5 linked regions of the Coturnix japonica genome follow. The protein of the gene in region 4 binds, or shares a complex with, the protein of the main gene of each other region. Links are inferred from orthologs where the notes say so. Each region holds a gene or a part of one and is shown on either strand. Other genes may lie near its edges.

What was found.
Region 1: the proteins of SF3A3 (region 4) and SF3A1 are in contact, whole or in part, in an NMR structure (PDB 2DT7), measured with the Homo sapiens proteins. The link is inferred for Coturnix japonica from reciprocal best matches to the Homo sapiens genes SF3A3 and SF3A1. Residues at the interface, in NP_006793.1 of Homo sapiens: Glu80, Phe81, Glu83, Phe84, Tyr85, Arg87, Leu88, Ile91, Lys92, His95; in NP_005868.1 of Homo sapiens: Ala161, Phe162, Asp165, Val166, Leu169, Thr170, Phe173, Asn177, Phe181, Gln184, Leu185, Lys188, Phe195.
Region 2: SF3A3 (region 4) and SF3A2 share a complex: the UniProt entries of both Homo sapiens proteins name them as parts of the SF3A subcomplex of the 17S U2 SnRNP complex. The link is inferred for Coturnix japonica from reciprocal best matches to the Homo sapiens genes SF3A3 and SF3A2.
Region 3: SF3A3 (region 4) and DDX46 share a complex: the UniProt entries of both Homo sapiens proteins name them as parts of the 17S U2 SnRNP complex. The link is inferred for Coturnix japonica from reciprocal best matches to the Homo sapiens genes SF3A3 and DDX46.
Region 5: SF3A3 (region 4) and SF3B1 share a complex: the UniProt entries of both Homo sapiens proteins name them as parts of the 17S U2 SnRNP complex. The link is inferred for Coturnix japonica from reciprocal best matches to the Homo sapiens genes SF3A3 and SF3B1.

Annotation. Positions count from the first base shown.
Region 1 is NC_029530.1:9,656,237-9,660,308, reverse strand, and holds the start of SF3A1 (splicing factor 3A subunit 1), read right to left. Parts: upstream 2,804-4,072; 5' UTR 2,715-2,803; coding exon 2,649-2,714; intron 846-2,648; coding exon 733-845; intron 1-732. Other genes in the region: coiled-coil domain-containing protein 157-like, read left to right, coding at 3,186-3,437. UniProt on the Homo sapiens protein: Component of the 17S U2 SnRNP complex of the spliceosome, a large ribonucleoprotein complex that removes introns from transcribed pre-mRNAs.
Region 2 is NC_029543.1:1,224,615-1,228,704, forward strand, and holds the start of SF3A2 (splicing factor 3A subunit 2), read right to left. Parts: upstream 2,801-4,090; 5' UTR 2,744-2,800; intron 1,922-2,743; 5' UTR 1,871-1,921; coding exon 1,745-1,870; intron 1,340-1,744; coding exon 1,268-1,339; intron 949-1,267; coding exon 902-948; intron 299-901; coding exon 189-298; intron 1-188. UniProt on the Homo sapiens protein: Component of the 17S U2 SnRNP complex of the spliceosome, a large ribonucleoprotein complex that removes introns from transcribed pre-mRNAs.
Region 3 is NC_029528.1:2,453,582-2,457,091, reverse strand, and holds part of DDX46 (probable ATP-dependent RNA helicase DDX46), read right to left. Parts: intron 3,345-3,510; coding exon 3,227-3,344; intron 2,725-3,226; coding exon 2,559-2,724; intron 2,266-2,558; coding exon 2,114-2,265; intron 1,831-2,113; coding exon 1,717-1,830; intron 1,144-1,716; coding exon 978-1,143; intron 714-977; coding exon 593-713; intron 236-592; coding exon 60-235; intron 1-59. UniProt on the Homo sapiens protein: Component of the 17S U2 SnRNP complex of the spliceosome, a large ribonucleoprotein complex that removes introns from transcribed pre-mRNAs.
Region 4 is NC_029538.1:3,123,842-3,128,053, reverse strand, and holds the start of SF3A3 (splicing factor 3A subunit 3), read right to left. Parts: upstream 2,809-4,212; 5' UTR 2,762-2,808; coding exon 2,666-2,761; intron 2,544-2,665; coding exon 2,496-2,543; intron 2,370-2,495; coding exon 2,317-2,369; intron 1,487-2,316; coding exon 1,381-1,486; intron 1,003-1,380; coding exon 930-1,002; intron 547-929; coding exon 455-546; intron 181-454; coding exon 98-180; intron 1-97. UniProt on the Homo sapiens protein: Component of the 17S U2 SnRNP complex of the spliceosome, a large ribonucleoprotein complex that removes introns from transcribed pre-mRNAs.
Region 5 is NC_029522.1:27,039-31,201, forward strand, and holds the start of SF3B1 (splicing factor 3B subunit 1), read left to right. Parts: upstream 1-1,353; 5' UTR 1,354-1,456; coding exon 1,457-1,484; intron 1,485-4,163. UniProt on the Homo sapiens protein: Component of the 17S U2 SnRNP complex of the spliceosome, a large ribonucleoprotein complex that removes introns from transcribed pre-mRNAs.

The sequences.
Region 1 (4,072 bases), on a different chromosome or scaffold from region 4:
TTTTAAGATGGCCTGGCTAACACCAGCAGTTTATGTTTTCATGTTGGTAACAGGAGGAAAAAGCCCAAATGAATAAAGATGTATTAAACTTCCAGGCTTCTCCCCTAACTGTGACATCTATACTTGTGATAATCAACCTGCTGCACTAAACTAGGATAAATATGCCATGCACATCATGGGCAGTTCACCTACCCCAGACCTCTCCCTGGGAACATGCACTTCTATCCCCTTGGCTATAGAAGGGAAGAGACAGCTGAGTCAGAGTGCCCCAGGTGCTGGCACACTTCATGAAGTTGTAGGTGAACAGGGATGGGACTGAGCCTCAGGGTCCAACAAGGAACCTAGTGTACCCTAAAGGAGAGGTAATTGCCCACACAATGTAAAGTAGAGTAAAAATAAATGAATGACTCCTGTTGGCTTAGTCATTCAATAAGTGCTAGTAACAAACAAGGCTTCCTTTCCACCTGCAATTTTGTTTGCCCTCCAGGTCATTTTAAAAAGAATTTATTTACTACCACAGCTTTTCTAGCAAAGCACATATTAAATCTCCAAGGAGACAATTGCTGCCTCTATTCTACAATCTCACTGATAAAAATTCAATCCTTAGAAACCTCCAGGGAACGCTGTGGGACTGTGATTTGTTTCAGCTTCTGGAGACACACAGACAGTAGCACTGGAAGGTGAGAGGCAGAAAATTCCCATGAAAGACAAGACAACACCACTGCTGTTTACCTGGCTACGAAGCTGGCAGTCTTGTCAACAATATTCCTGACCTCGGGAGGAGGATAAATAATTCCCACCACAGGTTTGGCTGGTGCTGCTTCCTCTTTTGGCTCCTCTTCTGGCTGCAAGAAAAACATTTTTCTTACAGTCTTATGTATTGCTACCTCCTAAGTAGCAAAAACATTCCTGAACCACCATCTCTGGAAGACACATTTCACTCTGCAGTATTTGCCACTAGTCAAGATAGTAAATTCAAACAGCCTAAATCTAACATGGTAACAAGCAAAGGAGCTACAAATGATCTCGAATATCACATCATACATCAGCATCAGAGTGTGCAAACACAGCCTGGTAGTGTCCAAACTTTGATTGTGTTTATTTTTAGTGAGTTGAGTTGTAAAATTCACTTCCCTTTCTCTTTCAGTTTCTGTACCTTGAGTAACAGTCCTATGGTACCTTAAAAAGCTGTTCTGAAATACCATGCTGAAGGAGTGCTCTGGAAGAATTAAGCATTTCAAACAGCAACTCCTGCAGCAGACAGAACTGCCTGTTCTCCTCAGACCATGACATTTTCGTGGCACGAAGATATAGTTTAACAATCTGAACCTGTAGTCCTGCAAAGCAGCAGCACTCAGCAGCTTCCCAGGCGAGGAGATGGTGTTTGTCAGCCTGCCAAGGGCACCTGCTGCGGGGGCTGCTGCGAGTGAGACAAGCAGGAAGGCCATCCCATGGGAACCAAACAACTCTTCCCAGTGTTTCTGCTCTTTCAGCCTCAACCCAGTGGAAGTTTATAGATGTTGAGCCAAGATGTAGCAAAGCATGCCTATAACACCACACCCAGGAAGAATTCAGTATTGCTGGACAGCTCTGGAAGTTACAAGCATTGCAGGTTGGATATTCATAGATATTTCTTTTCGGAAGGAGCAGTGCTGCACTGGCACAGGCTGCCCACGAAGTGCTGGAGTCACTGACCATGGAAGCTTTCAAGAAACATGTGGATGTGGCACAGAGGGAAGTGGTCAGTGGGTATAGAGGGGATGGGGTGACAGCTGGACTACATGATCTTAGAGCTCTCTTCTAAACTTAATGATTCTATGATTCCTAACGGTCTGCAGGGCTACCAGAAATGGGAATCTAAACGATCAAGCCAACAGTAAATAACACATAGCATCCCATCCTACTAGGGCTTTAAAGCTTTTTTTAGAGCTGAGAAGAGCTCAGCTGAGTGTTTTCCTCCCTGTGGTTGTGGGAGGACCTGCACCACAGCCCCAGCAATCACCCCAAGGGCAGCTCTGCCTCCCAGCACAGCCAGCTGCAGTTCTCTGTAGGATGCTGACGGTGCCTCCCTTCCCTCACAGCACAGATACAGGGGACATCTTGATGGTAACTAAAAGCCTGCCAGACAAAACAAAAACACCCAAAACATTGGAGATTTGGAAATAGTTGTTCTCCACAAAGCGGTGATGCAGTGCCAAAGGCTGCACAGAGAGCAAAGGGGGGGGTCAGCATCCCTGGAGGTGCCCCAGGATGATGGAGCTGTGGCACTAAGGGACGTGGGCAGTGTGCACGGTGGAGGCCGGCTGGGGTCGGACATGGGGATCTTTGCGGCTTTTCCCAACCTTAAAGATCTATAAAAGACGTTAAAAGAAAGACACAACAACCCCTTGGAGCATTCACCCCCACTTCCTCCAAGCAGCAGATGGAAGGGCGGTGTAACACCACCATTAAGCGCTGCTTTTAAACGACCACAACGCTGCGCTCCCTCGTTAACTCCACCATAACAACGCGACGGTACATTCACATGGGGCCGCACCCCGTCACAGGCATTAAACCCCGGGGTGGCCGGTCACCCAGCCCCGTATCGGCCATGCAGCCCTCGCTAAATCCCGCCCACAGGCCCGAAGCCTCCATGCCGCGGTTCCTACCGGTTTGCTCTCTGCAGGCGGCGCTGGCTGCGCCGGAGGCCCGGCCTGCACAGGCCCAGCCGGCATGGCGATACAACAGACCGCTCAGACAAGGCCGCAAAGAAGGCGCCGAGACGCTGACAAAATGGCGGACAGGCACCTCGAACTGCGCATGCGCGCCGGAAGTGACGCTCAACGTCGCGACAGGAAGGAGGCGCAGAGGGGAGGAGCGCATGCGCAGAGGGTGGTTCCGCTCGTGCGGGCGGGGCGTTGCCATGGCAGCGGGTGCGGCGCCGCGGCCTAGTCCCAGGCGGCCGCCTCCAGCATCACCTGCAGCCGGTGGGACCGTCCCGGCGTCCCAGCGCCCTCAGCGCACACAGCGCTGCTGTTCGCCTCCCGCAGCTCCCTGCAGGCCGCTGCCTAGACACCCCTCACCCCAAATCATACAGCCTTGGGGACGCAGCGCCTGTCCCCTCCATCCTGCTGGCAGCCCTTTGGTGTCACCCACCATCCGTTCCCAGCGCTGGTCCATCCATCTGTCCGTCTGTCTGTCCACCCATGGCTCACCTCCTGGGCCACCCCGGCTGCATGGCGAGCCTGCAGGCCGACCTGAGGGACCTGCAAGGAGCCATCGCCGACGTCACCTCCCGCACCGGCCCTGCACGATTCCCATCCTGGAAGTTCCCCAACAAAGTGTCCTGTGAGCTGGACCTGCTGGCGCTGCTGGAGCGGTACAGTCACGCCGAGGGGGATCCTGAGTTCAGCCAGCATGCGCATGTGGTGCTGCTGGAGCTGGTGATAGACAGGTGAGCGGGCACAGCACCCTGCAAAGAGCAGCAGGGGCACAGCAGCTCCTTCCCCACGGAGAGAAGATGTGTGATGCTGCCAAGTGCTTTGGGCAGCGGGTTGGAACTGGGTGGTCTTTGAGGTCAAAGAATCACAAAATCATTGATAGGCCATCTGGTCCAACTCCCCCACAGCGAACAGAGACACCCACAGCTACATCAGGGTGCTCAGAGCCCTGTCCAGCCTGGTCTCGAGTGTCTCAGTCCCTTTTTCTGACCCTCCTCTGGCTATGCTCCAACAGCTCTGTGTCTCTCCTGCACTGAGCACTCCCCATCTGGATGCAACACTCCAGGTGAGGTCTCACAAAGCAGAGGGGCAGATCCCCTCCATCACCCTGCTGGCTGCACTGCTTTGGATGCAGCCCAGGATACAGTTGGCTTTTCAGGCTGTGAGGGCACAGTGCTGGCTCATGTCCAGCTGCCATCCACCAGTACCCCCAGGTCCTTTTTGTCGGGGCTGTGCTCAGTTCTTTTGTCCACCAGCTTTTACTGACTGTGGGGGTCCCTTCCAACTCAAGCTTTTCTATGATTCTATGAAAACATCTCAATTTTAAAGATGAGTCGTGCCCTCAGATCTGTCTTTGGATACCTGGTCCTAAC
Region 2 (4,090 bases), on a different chromosome or scaffold from region 4:
ACTGTCAGCAATAAAGAGACAACCCATGGGTAATTTAAACAATAAAGGACATCAGGAGATAAGCCCATATCTTATTTATGGATAGCTCTGCTAAAAAGGCTGATGAACAATTCATGCCCACAGCACTGCACTTCAAGCAAGCTCCAGCAGCCACGGGGTATCTGCTATGACAGGCACTGCTGACAAACCTTTGTAACCTGGTCGTCCAATTTTCACAAACTTCTTCACTTCCACTTTGACTTTTTCTGGTGCAGGTTGGGCAGGAGCTTCCTTTGCTTCCTTGGCAGCTCGACGAGCCCTGGGTTCATTGGAAACGCGCAGTGTTAAATGGTTATCAGCACTTGGTTCTGAAGGATACTCTAAAAGGCAGAGTGAGTTCTGTATGACGGAGCATTCAGCACTTCACAGAAAGCATAATGGGAAACTGCTGCTCCTCCTCCACAAGCACCATGGGAGGCCAGTTCCACTCCTTGCCTTGACTACAATCTGTCACCTCCATCACCTCACCCACTCCTAAGAGGACTTTGATGTCCAGCTCCACAGATGGAGCTGAGATGACTTCTTAAAAGTCAAAAAGGAAATGAATTACACAAGCCAGGTATCTAAAGCAGAGCAAACCTGAATTCTTAGATTAAAGCTTACAAACTTTTCTCAAGCTGTATTCATAAAACAGCTTCCCTTACAGTTATACTTAATCTAAATGCCATAGCTGGCTTTGAAGTGGAGCTTGTCAGCACCACTGTTCAGAGCAGAGCTGGTGAATGCCTAGGAAACAAACAGAGACAAAGAGCATTCAAGCCCAGAGTGCTACTACATGATGGAGGCCAAGATTTATAGGTGCTCATTATCTAATTTTAATGTGCCCAAGTAATGGAGAATAACACGGTGGAGAATGACTTACAGATTGGTCTGATGCTTCTTCCCCTGCGTATGTGCCAGGTAACTTCCCTGGGGGGAAAAGAAAGTTATGAAGACTGAACTGTTCCTGAACAGAAAGATATTTGTCACAGATGAGAGGTGACATTTCACACTGACAAAGATATTTTAATCCTCAGAGCACAGCAGAATCAAACTCACAAATTTCAGATTGCTCACAACTGCTGAACTGTCAGAAACTTGTCATGCTTAACACACACAGCCTCTGCTCCCCCCATTGGCCCTCCAGCAATCAGCCAACGGGAACAGCTTCGGTTCCAGCACTTGGAGCTAGAATTAGTCTAAAATATCTGCTGCCATGGAGATCAAGACAGACAGCTGCTCAACTCACCTCATTGTTATGGAGCGTCAGGCAAAGCTTGCATTCATAAGAACCCAAGTGATTTTTCATAAAATAGGGGTCCTAGGAAGAGAAGGATTGAAAAGTTACATGTAAAATCTGCATTGGAACAACTGAACAACCGAGATTCTAAAGCAGAGCTGCACTGTAAGAACTCTATGAGCTCATGGAGTGAAGGGATCAGCACAACACTGCTTTAGGAATATAGAGAAAAAGGAACAAGAGCAGTTGTGTTCACTGGTAACAGCACACCCAACTGCAGCATAATAAGAACCAGTGCCAAGACTGAACATAACAGAAGCCCAGTGCTGGTATCCCTCTGCTTGGCCCTTCCACATGTTGCTCGAGTCCCTCATCAGTGGGAACAGAAGTATTTATTCCACTCCACAGATCCCCACTAAACCTCTCACTCTCTGCTGAGATGAAGCCCTGACCTCACCCCATGTAGCCTGCAGGACTGGGGCTCACCTTGTTGATGTCAATGGTCTCCAAAGCCAGTTGCCGAAGCCTCTCCCTGCGGTCTCGGTTGCTTTCTGAGGCTGAAGCTACGCCTCCACTCCCCGTTTTACCTCCAGGACGGTGCTGAAAATCCATGGTGGGGATTTCTGGGCTTTGGAGACTTCAGGAGAAAAATAAAATAAAAGTCTGGAAAAATGAAGAAAAGACACATAAGTGACAACACAGCCCTAAGCTGGGCCTCGCATTGAGCCCTGCCACGAGGACACGGCCCAGGCACTGCCATTACCTCAGCAAGAGACAAAACCACCCCCAGCCCACCTCTACCCTCTCACACAGGGTCACACACCCCCCAGCCACTAACATGGGGGTCACAACCCCCCAGACACCCCCTCACCCCCCTCTAAACACCCCCATTCCCTCAGCGAGCACCAAAGCTCACCTCAAAGCCCCCTACAAACACCCCCCGAACTCTCCATGCCACTTATAGCCCCCCAGTTTCCTTTTGGAGGGTCCTGTCCCTCCACTAAGAACCCCTCTAAGCCCCCTCACCCCCCTCATTCTCCAGTGCAGGTCACAGGCTCCATAGGTTCCATAGGCCCCACAGGCTCCATAGGTTCCATAGGCCCCACAGGCTCCATAGGTTCCATAGGCCCCACAGGCTCCATAGGCCCCACAGGCTCCATAGGCCCCACAGGCTCCAAATAGGCCCATATGCCACAGCCTCTATAGGCCCCATAGGCTGCACATGCCCCATAGGCCCCACAGCCTCCACAGCCCCCACAGGTTCCATAGGCCTCACAGGCCCCACAGGTTCCATAAGCTCCATAGGCCCCACAGGCTCTATAGGCCCCACAGGCCCTTATTCCCTTAGCGACGGTCACTGCCCCGAAACAATCCCCCACAGGGCCCAAGACCCCCCTCCAGACCACCCCATCCCCTCAATGAGGGTCTCACTCCCCCATATCCCCCCTTTAAGCCCCACATCCCCTCCCCCTAAATCCCCCATACCGCCGTGCTCAGCCCCGCTCCCGGCGCATGCGCTCTGCCCTCCCCCTTCCATCCCCTCTAGTTCCGGATAGAGCACTACCGGGTCGGGTATGGGTGGTTGTAGGGTTGGGGTGGTTGTAGGGTTAGGGGTGGTTTGTAGGGTTGGGGTGGTCGTTTGGGGTCCGACATGAGGTACAACGAACGGGAGCTTGCTGTCCTGTCCAGGCAACCGGCAGAGAAAGCGGCAGAGATCCATGATGAGGGTCCCCAAGAAGGGGCAGCGGTAGAGGGGGGGGTGGGAAGGGGGTGAGGGTGGAAGATGGGGGGGTTAATTGGGGGTGGGAATGGGGAGTGATGGATTGAGGTGTGGGATGGGGGTAATGGGGTGGGGGTGGGATGGGGTGGGGTAATGGGATGGAAACTGGGGGTATTGGGATGGGGCTGTTGGAATTGGGGGTGCTGGGGCAAGAGCTGGGGTGTTGGGATGGGGGTTGTTGGATAGAGCTGGAGGTGTTGGGATGGTGGTAAGGGATGGAATTGGGGTAATTGGGATGGGGGTATTGGGAATGGAACTGGGGTATTGGATGGGGTATTGGCATAGAGCCTGGGGGTGTTGGGATGGGGGTATTGGGATGGAACTGGGGGTATTAGGATGGGGCTGTTGGAATGGGGGTGCTGGGGCAGAGCTGGGGTTTTGTTTGGGATGGGGTATTGGGATGGGGGTATTGGATATGAGCTGGGGGTGGGATGGGGATGGGGGTGTTGGGGTGATAGGATGATGGGATGGGGGTAATGGGATGGAACTGGGGTTATTGGGATGGGGGTAATGGGATGGGGGTATTGGGATAATGCTGGGGGTGTTGGGGTGGGGACAGGAGTATTGGGATGGGGGTAATGGGATGGAACTGGGGGTATTGGGATGGGGGTGTTGGGATAGAGCTGGGGGTGTTGGGATGGTGGTAATGGGATGGAATTGGGGGTATTGGGATGGGAGTACTGGGTCAGAGCTGGGGGTGCTGGGATTGGGGTATTAGGATGGAGCTGGAGGTGCTGGGATGGGAGTATTGGGATGGAAGCACAGGGATCAGAACGGTGTACTGGGATAGGAGCGCTGGGATGACAATGGAAGTCCTGGGGTGGAAGCACTGGGATGGAAATGGAGATGCTGGGAGTGCTGGGATGGTTTGGGGGCCCCACACACGCTGGGCTCGCTGTCACATCACTCCTTTCCTTCTTCAGTGTTAAAGAAGCGCCTCGTGAAGCTCGTGGTGAACTTTCTCTTCTACTTCAGGACGGATGAAGCTGAGGTTCGGATCCTGCTGCTCCTCACACACACACAGATACACACACGCACCTTTTTGCTTCACG
Region 3 (3,510 bases), on a different chromosome or scaffold from region 4:
AGCATAAGAACGAGCTTTTGTTTACTTAAATAGCAATTCTGAAAACAAGAGCTTTGTACCTATGGGACCTTCTCCTTCTTCTAAAGCTCTCTGATCCATAATATGCCTGAACATGGGCAATAGAAAGGCGATAGTTTTTCCACTTCCTGTTTTAGCAATGCCAATCAAGTCGCGACCATTCATAATTGCTGGGATAGCTTGGCTCTGAATGGGCGTGGGTTTCTCATAGCCGTGTCTTAAAGAAGGGGAGAGAAACGTCAAAAAAAGAGATTGTAAGATCAAAATATGATTTGATGGACATATATCACAGTCATGCTAGAAGAAATGTGCACGTTCTTATTTACTTCTAAGCATCGGTGTCACTCTAAAAACATCTTAAAAATGAGCAGTCACATGATACAAATGGCTGAAAGAACAGTTTGTAACAACCGTTTAATACTGACTGCAAAATGACTGAGGACTAAACATGTAACACCAGCAGACATGGACACGTTGCTTTATGCAACAAAGAACGTTTTTCTCACTAACATATGTATGATAGAACAGAGTAGACAAAACCAAGCATGACTTGGGTTGTACATCGCTTGCTTACTTTTTGAGAGCAGTAAGAATCTTCATGGAAATACCACACTGAACCCAGGTCTTTATTGGTTTGGGGCAGCCTTTTCCCTTGACTGTTATTCCCTCCATCTCCAGTCGGTACACATTCACCTCTGAAACAGAGTTTGCATTAGAACAGAGTCAAACATGACATCTGCTACCTTGAGATAGCATGGGGTTATCGGTAATAGGGATCTGACTCATTTTCATTCTGTTGCTCAAAAAGAATCCCCTCTCCCATTCAAATTCTCAACAAAATTACTCCAAAGACTTGAGCTGTACAGCACTTCTTTGCTCCTTCAAGAGCACTCCACACTGAATCAGAATTTGCTACTTCCTTGCACACTAGAATGTGTTCTGCTCATACTTGTACTTACCCTCTTGTGTCATTTTAGCGAGTTCAGGTACTTCAACATAGAAGTTTTTCCTGAAGGGTTCATATTCTATTTTTCCATGATCCACAGGTTCTAGCAGCTTTCTCTGCTTGGTCTGATAGCCAGTCAGGGCAGTCTGAAGATCAACTTCCTCTTCTTCTGAAGAATACTGTATAGATTGTTAAGAGTGTTTAAGTTACTGTGAATGACATTCTGAGATGCTGTTACTTGTTTATACAGAAACTTGACTCAGAAGCAAAAGCTTTTTCTTAGCCCATTAAACTGGATACTGAAAATCTGCTCTCACTGTGAGAGGAGCCCATATCATTTGCTCATCAATTTATTTCATATTTCTTCCAAACCTTAACTTTCACTGTTCCATATCACTTCTATGACTTTATAAATACTAACTAGAACAGTCCCGTCATTCAGAAATAATCATAGCTATACAGTACAAATATTAAGAGAACAGTATTTAAAAAATAATAATTTGAGTGTATAGAATAGCTACTATGCCACTACATGCCACTAATTTGTCAGACACAAAATAAATAAAGAATTATCGTTTAAGAAGAGTTTTGAGACCTGGAACTTACAGTTCATTTGGAATTAAACATATTTATACTTACCTAGAAAAGAAACAGAAATGCAAACCCTCAGAAAACATTTATTTCATATTAGATATGTATTAGAACATGCAGGCTGAGCTGCCACATACATACTCACAAGACACTTCCATTACCTCCATTGCATCTTGATCATTCTCCATGAGTTCCCCTTTCTTCTTTTCTGTCTCTACAACTGCCTTTTTGGTTGTCACCACGGTTACCACTTTGGTAACAGTTGGTCCAGATTTCTGCAAAAAAGAAAAGAAAAAGAAAAAAAGTTAATAGAAATCATTGCATCACTCATAAAAGACATGCTGTATGAAATATACAGAATATTTCTACTTATGAACATATTACACTGTTTTTTCATACATCTCTTGCAGTGAAATTTTATGAGGATATTGCTATCAGCTTATTAATAACATCAGAAAATTCAAGGCAAACAATCACTGAATGGATCTAACCTATTTCTTCCCTTCTTTTTTCCAAAACCATTTCCATACTGAAACACAAAGCTACTTTCAATTTTACCTTTTCGCTCCCACCTCCACCCTTCACACTTCTCATATTGAACTTCTTGACTTCTTCTTTTACTTCTTCCATATAAGCATCCAAAGGATCTAATTCTTCATCTTCAACCTCATTGCCTTCCTTTTCTCCTTCTGCAGTTTCCTCATCATCATCTAATATGATTAAGAAAAACAGGAATAAAACAGAGAGGAAATAACTCTATGTTACATTGTTAGCCTGCCCAAATAATTACTGTCCATTTTTATTACTGTATCATTTTTCTTCATTAAAAAATCTCTCAAATTTGTTAATCTCAACACTACCTTAAAATGTTTGAAGCCGTGACAAGGTTTAGGCTTTGCTATTTCATAGTTCACTTTTTGAAAAGTCTTTAAATGCTTTAAAGATAATAAAAATATTATCAGGAACAAACGTGTTTTAAATGTTACATCTAAAATCAAAATACCATCATCATCTTCCAAACTCCATTTTTTCCCCTGTTTCATCTCCTCAATTTCCTTTTTCAGTTCTCCTATGTTCTCCATTGCCTTCTTGCGTTGCTCTTCCCTCCACTTCTCCACTCTTTCTTTTCGTTTTCTCATTTCTTCTTCCAGTTTGTTCTGATCAAAATTCTATGGCAAGAAACAACCAGTGAAAATTAATGGCCACTGGCATTTGTCTATTCTTCAGTCAAAAAGCCTTTCCAAACAAATGTAACTGAGCACCAAGTTGATCCATGGGCATACAGAAACCTATCACAACAGGAGTAAACAAAAAACACTAAAAGCAGCTACAGTGCTTTAAAATACAAAACTCAGCTGTTTTATTTTTCACAACAGTAGCACGTATACAATTCTGTAAGTAATAATCCTTCAAGAACAACAAAAAAAGGGACCCATCTATGCATGGGGAGCCCTTGCTGACAGCACAGTAGAAACAGAATGTTACTAATGGCAAGAATTGGAAGCACACCCTGTGACAGGAGTTATAGAAGAGAGTGGGACTCATTAACTCAGCAGGGATTTTGGCCAATCCTGAGAATAGTTTTTTTTTTTGTTAATACAGTAATCTATGGCTACCTCAGTTCCTTGTTTATACATTTAAAAGTTAGAAGATTATCCTCAGAGCTCCTACCTCAGTGGCCACAGTAGATGCACCAGCATCTTTATCCTTCTCTTCTTCCTTGTCATCTTTCTCTTTTTTCTTTTCTTTGGAAACTTCCACACCTTCTGTCCTTTCTTTAGATCTTGATCTGAAAGGTAACAGCAAAGATTTCTTAAAACATTTTTTTCTCACGGGGGAATAAACGTGTTGGATAGAAACAAAACCACGAACACACTGAATGGGGCTGTGTTTTCAAACATCTTATGAAGTGCACATTATCTCTTTAGAGAATCTTTCTCTGCTTTATGGAAACA
Region 4 (4,212 bases):
CTCTGCTTGATTACTAACTCTGCTCCTGGACACTTGAGAAGCAAATTCCTTCTCATCAACTACTTTCATGAATGAAGCAGGCAGGAAAAAGACTCACCTCTTATATTCAGCGTTTTTTCTCTCTTTGGGGATGTCAAAGAGTTGGTCAAATGTAGACAGATAAGTGATGTAATCCAGTTTCTAAGAATGAAAGGAAGTTTGATTCAGACTTTAGATACACACAGCATATCAGCAACCAATTTCCAGTCACCAGACTAGAAGAAAAGCACAAAGCTCATGCCTTTATTCTGCATGGTCTGCACAGGGCTGGGGTTTACAGTGTGCTTTCTAACACAATGCAAAACAAGCACCATAAAACAGCTATTTGGAAATAAATGACATTTAAAACAGACCACTGAGCCCTCAGCACTGAAGTGCAATACAACAGAGTGCCCACACTACTGCAACCACTTACCTCTGATGATTTCAGATTAATGTATTTGAGATAGCAATCATGCAGATCTAAGTATCTTCCATACCCTTCTTCATCTGTGAACTCCACCAGGTCTGCAGGAAAGAGCACGCAGGGCTTTGTTACAAACTCAACATCCTCTGCTTGTTATATGCATGCTTTAGAAGCTGAACTGCAGACTAGTTTATCTTTCTTAAGCATGTTTATAATGCAAATGGATACTCATCGACTAGATGGCCACCAGCTTCCTAGTGTTATATCAGACCATCCCCCAAAAGAACCATCTCAACAGTGGAATATTTCAGGGTGGCTGCAGCCCAGAAGAATTTAAATGAAATTAAAACAGTTGTTATGGTTAATGTAGGGAAAGGGAGGTGGAAATCAAAGCAGAACAGACAGGTCACTAAATCACGGCAAGCAATGTGTTCTCAACTAAACAAACCTCAAACAAGAAACAAACAAAACCCTGAAGACTTACTTTGAGCTTCTTCACTTGGGTTGTCTCTGGCCTTCAACAGTTCCTCAAACTCCACTGACATTGGAACACAAATCTTCAGGAACAGAAGAAGTTATAGAAAAAGGGATTAGTTCAGCTAATGCCCAGGAGTAATTAATACAGACTGCAAACAGTAAAACAAGTAACTGAAGAGGTGTTTCAAGCACTTCTTCATGATTATATTTGCACTAAAGACAGCATTAGGCAGGCAAGAATGAATGCTAGCTCAGAAGCAGAATGCTCTTAAACTAATAGAGAGTGTGGAGGACATGGTGAGCATCCTGCATTTTCTCCTACTCAGACAGAGGCTCATATAAAGTCTCAAAGCATCACCTATTTCTAGACACTTTGTTTTCCTGAATGACATTTTAATACAGCAGAGATGAAGCCCAACACACCACAAACCAGTTATCCTTATGGAGCTGCTGCTTACCTCATTGGGATGCTTGCGGTGGAACTCTTTTATTTGTTTCAGTCTGTTATAGAATTCAGCAAATTCATTTGGCCCTGAAATGGCACTGAGCTCCTCCTTCCGTAAGCTACAGGTTCATAAAAAGAAGACAGGTTGCATATAGAAAACACGTTTATGTTGGTTTATATTGGTATAATGTTTGGAAGTCTAACACTGCATTCTGCTCCCACAAAACACCAGTGAGACTGAAATCACAGCCCCACCATATGGGGACAATAATGAAAAGATGGTAGTAAATAACCAAAAGGTTATTTACAAGTTAAGCTCACCCATATGGAAGCCTTAGATCTGCTGGGAACCACTGAAGTGATCACTACCAAGCAGCAATCACCAAGAGATGCTGCATTAGTGGTGGTCAGCCCTTCAATGAGGTCTAGAGGAGGTGAAGTCAAGCTCCACCCCTTTATGGGGAACAGCTAAATTACTCTCACCTGTGCTCCCACAGCTGACCCAACACTTGGCTCAGCTGATTAATCAGAGGTTCAGGCTGTGATTACCAATCTCCCATACACCCACTGATGTTCCACATGCAGCCAGGATTGTGCTTTGAGGATCAGGGTCACATCTCTATTGCAAACGCTGCAGTCTCAGTTAGAGACCGTCTCCCTCAATGATTCAATACCAGAGGGTCTGGTACAGCTGGTGGGGTTGGGTGAGAGGAGGTAGGAGTGTGGTGGGGGATCAGCTCCACCCCCATATGGGGATAGGAAGGGGGACAGGGCTGTAGTACTGCTCTGTGCTTTCTGCTTGAGAAGTGTTTGTGTTGCATGTTTCATGTGAAATCTGGGTCCTCCTCTTTAGGGCAGACCCCCAGCTTTGCATTGTAGCATCATGTCTGTGGTGTATAAAGCAGATCCAAGGCAGCCCCATGTCCATTCCAGCCCGCTATACACTCACCCATCCTTATCGTCATACAGGTCCCTCAGGTTGCTGCTCACTTCCATGTACCTCTAAAACACAACACAAACCTCACGTTGACACAAAGAACCTCAACCAAACCGGGGCCAATCTGGGCCCTGCACCTCCACAGCTACCCGAACCACCCCCAGCCCCACTCACACCCCGACCCCACTCACATCCTGCATAGCCCGAGTCCTGTGGTCGGAGTTGATCTGATCGCGGAGCTGCATAGAAATAAACGGCGTTAATAATGAAGGCCTGAGCCCGGCCTACCCCCCCCACACCCCCCCCCCCTCTCCCCGGGCACACACCCCCTGTGTCCCCCCACTCCCATCCCCGGGCTCACCGTGGATTTCTTAGTGAGCATCTCCTTCACCATGACGTCCATCAGCCGCTCTCGTTCCTCATGGTAGCGCCGCTGCTGCTCAAGGATCGTCTCCATCTTCTCCCCTTCCAGCCCGGAACCAGAAGCTCGCTGTGTAACACCGGAAGGGTCCGGCCCCTTCCCTGAGCCGCTTGATCCGGATTGAATGTGGTTCCGCGTTGATTTTAGCCCATGTGAAGGTGTAGAGCAGTGAGATCCACTGGCCGCCACAAGCCAGTTATCCCAGTTATCCCAGAAAAGTGGGAACTTTTCTGACACCTCTCGCTTCAAACCCATAAAGTCGTAAGGATTGAGAGCACTGCAGGTGCCCCCAGGCTGGGGTGAAAGCCTCCAGCTTCAATGTGGCTGTGGGCAGCGTTATACAGCCATGAATCACAGCCCAAGCAGAATAAAACATGTCCAGTCCGGTGCTGCCTCCTTCCTGCCTGCCTTGGGGTTACAGATGTTGCTCCTGGGATGAACAGACGTTGTGCTTAATGGGCTTTGGACATCACGGCTGAAGGATGTCAGGACTTAGGGGAAATGGTTTTAAGTTAAAAGAGGGAAGATTTAGGTTGGATGTTAGGGGGAAGTTCTTCACTAGGAAAGTGGTTAGGTCCTGGAACAGGCTGCCCAGGGAGGTTGTGGATGCCCCGTCCTTGGAGGTGTTCAAGGCCAGGTTGGACGGGGCCATGGGCAACCTGATCTATGGGGTCTCTATGGGGTCTCTATGGGGATCTATGGGGTCTATGGGGTCTCTATGGGGATCTATGGGGTCTCTATGGGGATCTATGGGGTCTCTATGGTCTCTATGGGGATCTATGGGGTCTCCTGGGCAACCTGAACTAGTAAATGTGTATGTTTGGTGGCCCTGCTAGGCAGGGGGGTTGGAACTACATGATCCTTGAGTATATTGAGGAATAAAGCTGTCTCTGTGAGTTCTGCGGCCTCCCCACCTTTTTGGACCTTAGCTGAGGGTCTGGAAGAAGGGATAACAGCAGGAGGAGCATTCAGGATGCCTGAAGGGCTCAGCCACATCCCTAACCTCACGTAACAGAGGCAAAGGAGAAAGTTCACCTTCAGCTCTGGTTCCCCACTACCCCAGGCAGTATGGACAGTAGTGGACCCGGGCTTGTTAGCACACACAGGTCCAAGTCCAAGCCTTCAGCTGCACCTGGTCTCCAGACCCATCCCTGCAGGGCTGCAGGAGCTGCTGGGGCAGGTTTATGTTGGGTTTAAGAGCTCAGAAGAGGCTGTGCTGGAGCCATGACCTGACGCTGCATGTAGATGCCTGCAGCTGGGAAATGGGTGACCTCCAGCAGGGAGCTGAAAAGAATGTTTGGAAAGAGAGAGCCCTCAACCACAGGGCAGCGAGGGATGCCCACAGTGAGCCCCAAAAGCATGTGGCAGGAGCCACCGTGTCCCTCTGTAGGGTGGCTTTTCAAGCTCAGTGTGTGGTTAATGCTGGGCTCACAGTGAAGGCTCTGCTCGCCTGGCTGCGTGCTGAGGAGTATTTCCGTGCCTGCTTC
Region 5 (4,163 bases), on a different chromosome or scaffold from region 4:
TCTTAATAGTTTTGTGGCTGTAAAAATTGAATTAGTTGTTCTTCGAAGATTAGCAGGAGGCAGTAGCTGTGAGCATTGGGCTACTTGAGTGAACCAGTGGCAATGGCACAATTGAATGGGTAAATCAAGGACAGGCGTGACTGGGCAATGCTTTTTGGTACCAGCTACTGATAGCATGGGCTGGCCATGACATTGGACCTGAATCTGTTAATTAAAGCAAGACCATGCCAGCTTGTTATTTAGGTATGACACTATGTGGAAAGCTTCTGGGCTCTTAAAACCAATATCTTTCCAATCCATATAGAAACTTCCATTTTCCACACAACACAGGACTCCTTTTGTGAGGGGAAATGGCATCTTCCAAAACCACATGTTAAAAGTGTACCTTAGGATCGCAACCCTTGAGCTCAGTTCTGTTTAATAACAGTGGGAATGTGATATAAAGCAAGCTGGAAGTCAAGCTGAAGAAACAAGAGAAAGTTACTGCAAATTGATCTTCGTGGTGAACCCAAGCATGTGACGGTTACTTAAAATAGTTGCAGGCATTAAATTCCTGTAGTAGGGAATTAGTGTCTGCCTTGACCTTATCCTCACACGTCTCTCAACAGCTCGGTATATATCTCTGTTCCATAGCCTACGAGTGCAGGATGTGAGTTTAATAATACTAAAGAGCAGATCCTCTGTGCTTTCACATGAATCTCAAGTATATTTCAACACATGCAGTTATGCAAAGTATTACAAGCACTGAATTGCTCAGTAAACTTCTGTAAACTAAGCGATAAAAAAGCAAATGCAGACACAGGGATGGACTGACTGATCAAACTCATGTTCTCAAACACAAAACATTGGCTTTAAGTCAGACTTGGATCTCAGGTCAGTGTTGGTGCTTCATGTGGGCTAGACTTTGCATATAACATGGCTATTAGCAGTGCTAGGATTGGATTTACTCCTGCTGTGGCTCCACGCTGCGATGGATACATGTTTACTATCAACCCCTGGCTATATTCTCAGCGCTCTATGTGGAGCACAGGCATTATGGAGCATTAGTGCATGTGGAGCATTAGGCAAACAGCAGCTCAGCATTAACGTACAAACCGCCGCCATCTTGCGGCAGAGGCCCCGTAGCACGCAGTGCTCAAGCCACATCCCCACCCCTCCGCCTCGCCGCACCGCTATTGGCCACTTGTCTTCCACGCCGCATTCCTATTGGCTGGCAGAGACGTCAGTCAGACGGAGGACGTGGCTCCGATCTCGGCCTGCGGGGCCGCCCGGCCGCCCGAGTGGCGCTTTTGGCCGCCGTCACTGCGCTTGCGCAACGCCCCAGCCCTCGGCCAGCCGCGGCGCGGCCCGCAACTGCGCGTGCGCAGTACTGCCTCGCCTCCCTCCTCCCCCCCCCCCCGAGCGGAAGCGCTGGGGCCGCGGCAGTTCCGTGTCGGTGTTGTTGGCGCTGGACAAAATGGCGAAGATCGCCAAGACCCACGAAGGTAAAGGGCTGAAATCCGCTCCTGGCGGTTCTTTTTTAAGCTGCGTGCACCTTTCGCGTCTTCTAATCCCGTTATACTCCGTCCGCAGCCCTCAGTGGTGCCGGGGTTATGGCTGCCGGGCCGGGCCGGGCCCGCTCGTAATGGCGTCGCCGCCCATATGAGCGCCATGGCCGGGCCGCCCGGCGCTGCGGGGTTGTGCGGGCGGTGCGGAGCGCCGTGCTGCCATTGATAGAACGGCGCCATCCCGACGGCAGCTACAAGATGTCGCCCGCCGAGGTGCCCCCCCTTGGTCGGGAGGCGCCATGTAGAGAGTGCTCGGTGCCGCCGCTGGGCGGGTCCATAGCGGAGCTGCTGTGGCGGGGGCTCTCCCTGCTCCCCGCACGGCTTCCCGGGCGGCATCGCTTGTGGGCGTCTCGAAGCAAACAAAGCCAGTTGTTAGCATTAGCTCTGTGCGATTGCTGGCCTGCTTTTCCTCCTGTGTGTGTGTGTGTGTGTGTGTGGCGGGTGAGCTGCGAGAGGCCGTGTTAGTTACTGTTAGTTGCTATTAACGGTGCAGTGAGACAAGAGGAGGAGGAATATGGGCACAAAGGGTTGGAGTTTTTGAGTGAACTCTGTCCAGATGTAGCCCTGTTGTATGATGAGAAACTGCTGATCGATTTAATGTAAACTATGTGTTTAAATGCTTGGAAGACCTGATCTTCAGGCGGTTTCAGATTGTTTTCTGTATTAAATCCCTTGGGTTTGTTCCTGAGGCAGGAAGGGCTGTGTGCAGACGGACAGCTCAGAGCTCTCCAGCTTATAAGTAAGATCAATTTCAAAGTATGCGGAGATCTGAGGAAGCAACATCCTACGGTCCAAGGTTTAAAGTCCTACGTTCCCTTAACACCCTCGCTGCAATCTAAGTATATGCAGTGTATGTTTTACCAGGCTGTAACGTAAGAAGGGAAGTTTGGGTCCCATGTTTCTTGCACCACGTTATTTTTAAATGCTGTAACCATGTGAGTGTTTCTTTCACTGTGAGGACTTGGTTGGATTCACACACTTGGTGTAGTGTCCTTCCAGTGTCTTCAGTAGCACTGGAAGCCTCAGGTATTTCGTTTCACCCCAGTGCTGCATTGCAGCAAGCTGCAAACAAAATCAAGAACTTGATCTGCCCTTTGAAGTAGACAAGAAACTAGAAACACGTAACAAACCTGGCGGGGTCAAAGTGCTTCTTGGAGTTGTTTTGGTTTCACAGTCGAGTGATGGGACAACTGTGCAAAAATGAAATGCCTGAAGGAGTTGTTGGTTGATGGAGTACGTGTGGGATGTCTCTGAAGTTTCTTTCTGGTATTTATTAATTATTTATTAATGTACTTAGGAGCACAATGTCTGCAGTCCTGAAGAACCTGTGCTGGGAAGCTGGATGCACAGGCAGAGTTCAGCTGGGGCTGATGGCCAGCAATATAAGGCTTTCGTTGGGCTTCAGCTCTCATGAATCTCCGGGCAGGTAGCTGGGTTCCTTCAGTGTGGAGGTGACTGTGCCCCACGTAGCTATTAAGCTCTGGCCAGCCTGCAGCTGAATTAATGATGATTTTATCTTTATTCTTAACTTTCTTAATTTGTATTCATAGGCATCTTCTGCAAGCTGCCTCTGAGGAAAAGTATTGTGAGATATATTAGTCCTGAAGAAGATAGAAGATGAGCAACAGTAGTAAATAGCTCAGGAGCGTGTGGTAGAGTTTCTGGGTGATTTGCTAGTGTAACTTCTATGCAGCTTTTGGAAATGGATGAATTTCCCTCCAATTAACATCATAGGCAGTAGGACTTCAGATGGGGAGGGGGAAGCACAGAATTGTTGAGGTCAGAAAGGGCATTTGAGATCTAGTCCAGCCCCTGCAAGCATGAGCCTTGCTATTCTTTCACCCAACAAGAGCAAATACAGATGAAAACAATTATTTTAGTGGAATTATGTGTTTCCTTGTTGTGCCTGAGTCTTGATCTTGTTTATTGAAGGCAACTGAATGACCACAGCTGATTTGCCTGTTGCTTTTACCAGTGCATGGGAGGGAGATTGGTTAAATTTGATTCCTTGGTGTTGGGGATTACTGACTTAGTGTTCTCTCAAACGGTGCCAAAGGTGCCAAATTGCTGAGGTCGGTGACTGACCCCAGGGGTAATGGGTGTCAGATCCTGATATGTTGGGAGTGCCAAAGCTCCTGTTGGCCCTCATTAATGGATAGGCAAACAGTTCAGCAGAGCAGTGGTCTCTTCGCAGGTGGTGGCAGAGGCAGGAGTTGTCTCAAGCTGGTTACATTGAGCTGCCTGAGATGGGAGCTGTGGCTGAACTTCTGCCTGTGTTGTCAGGCTGTTTTGTTGGTTCAAACGTAATATAGTGTTGCAGCATAGTGGATATTTTATTCTTGAATAAGGTGTTCTTCTGTTGCACGTTCCCATGTGTCTACTCACACGCTTCCTCCTTTAAACAGGTTTCTTTTAATAAACTGATTGTGCTGATTTATCGATGGTAACATCTCAGTAGCTGCTTTTAATGAAAAGATTACATTAATTGACAAAGCCCTGTACCATCTAGTGTTGAAAAATACTGTTGTGCTGTAATTACCTTCCCCACCATCGCTTTGGAAGATCGGATGGGTTAATGGTAATAGTTTTGAATGGTTTGCTTCAGACCACAATACA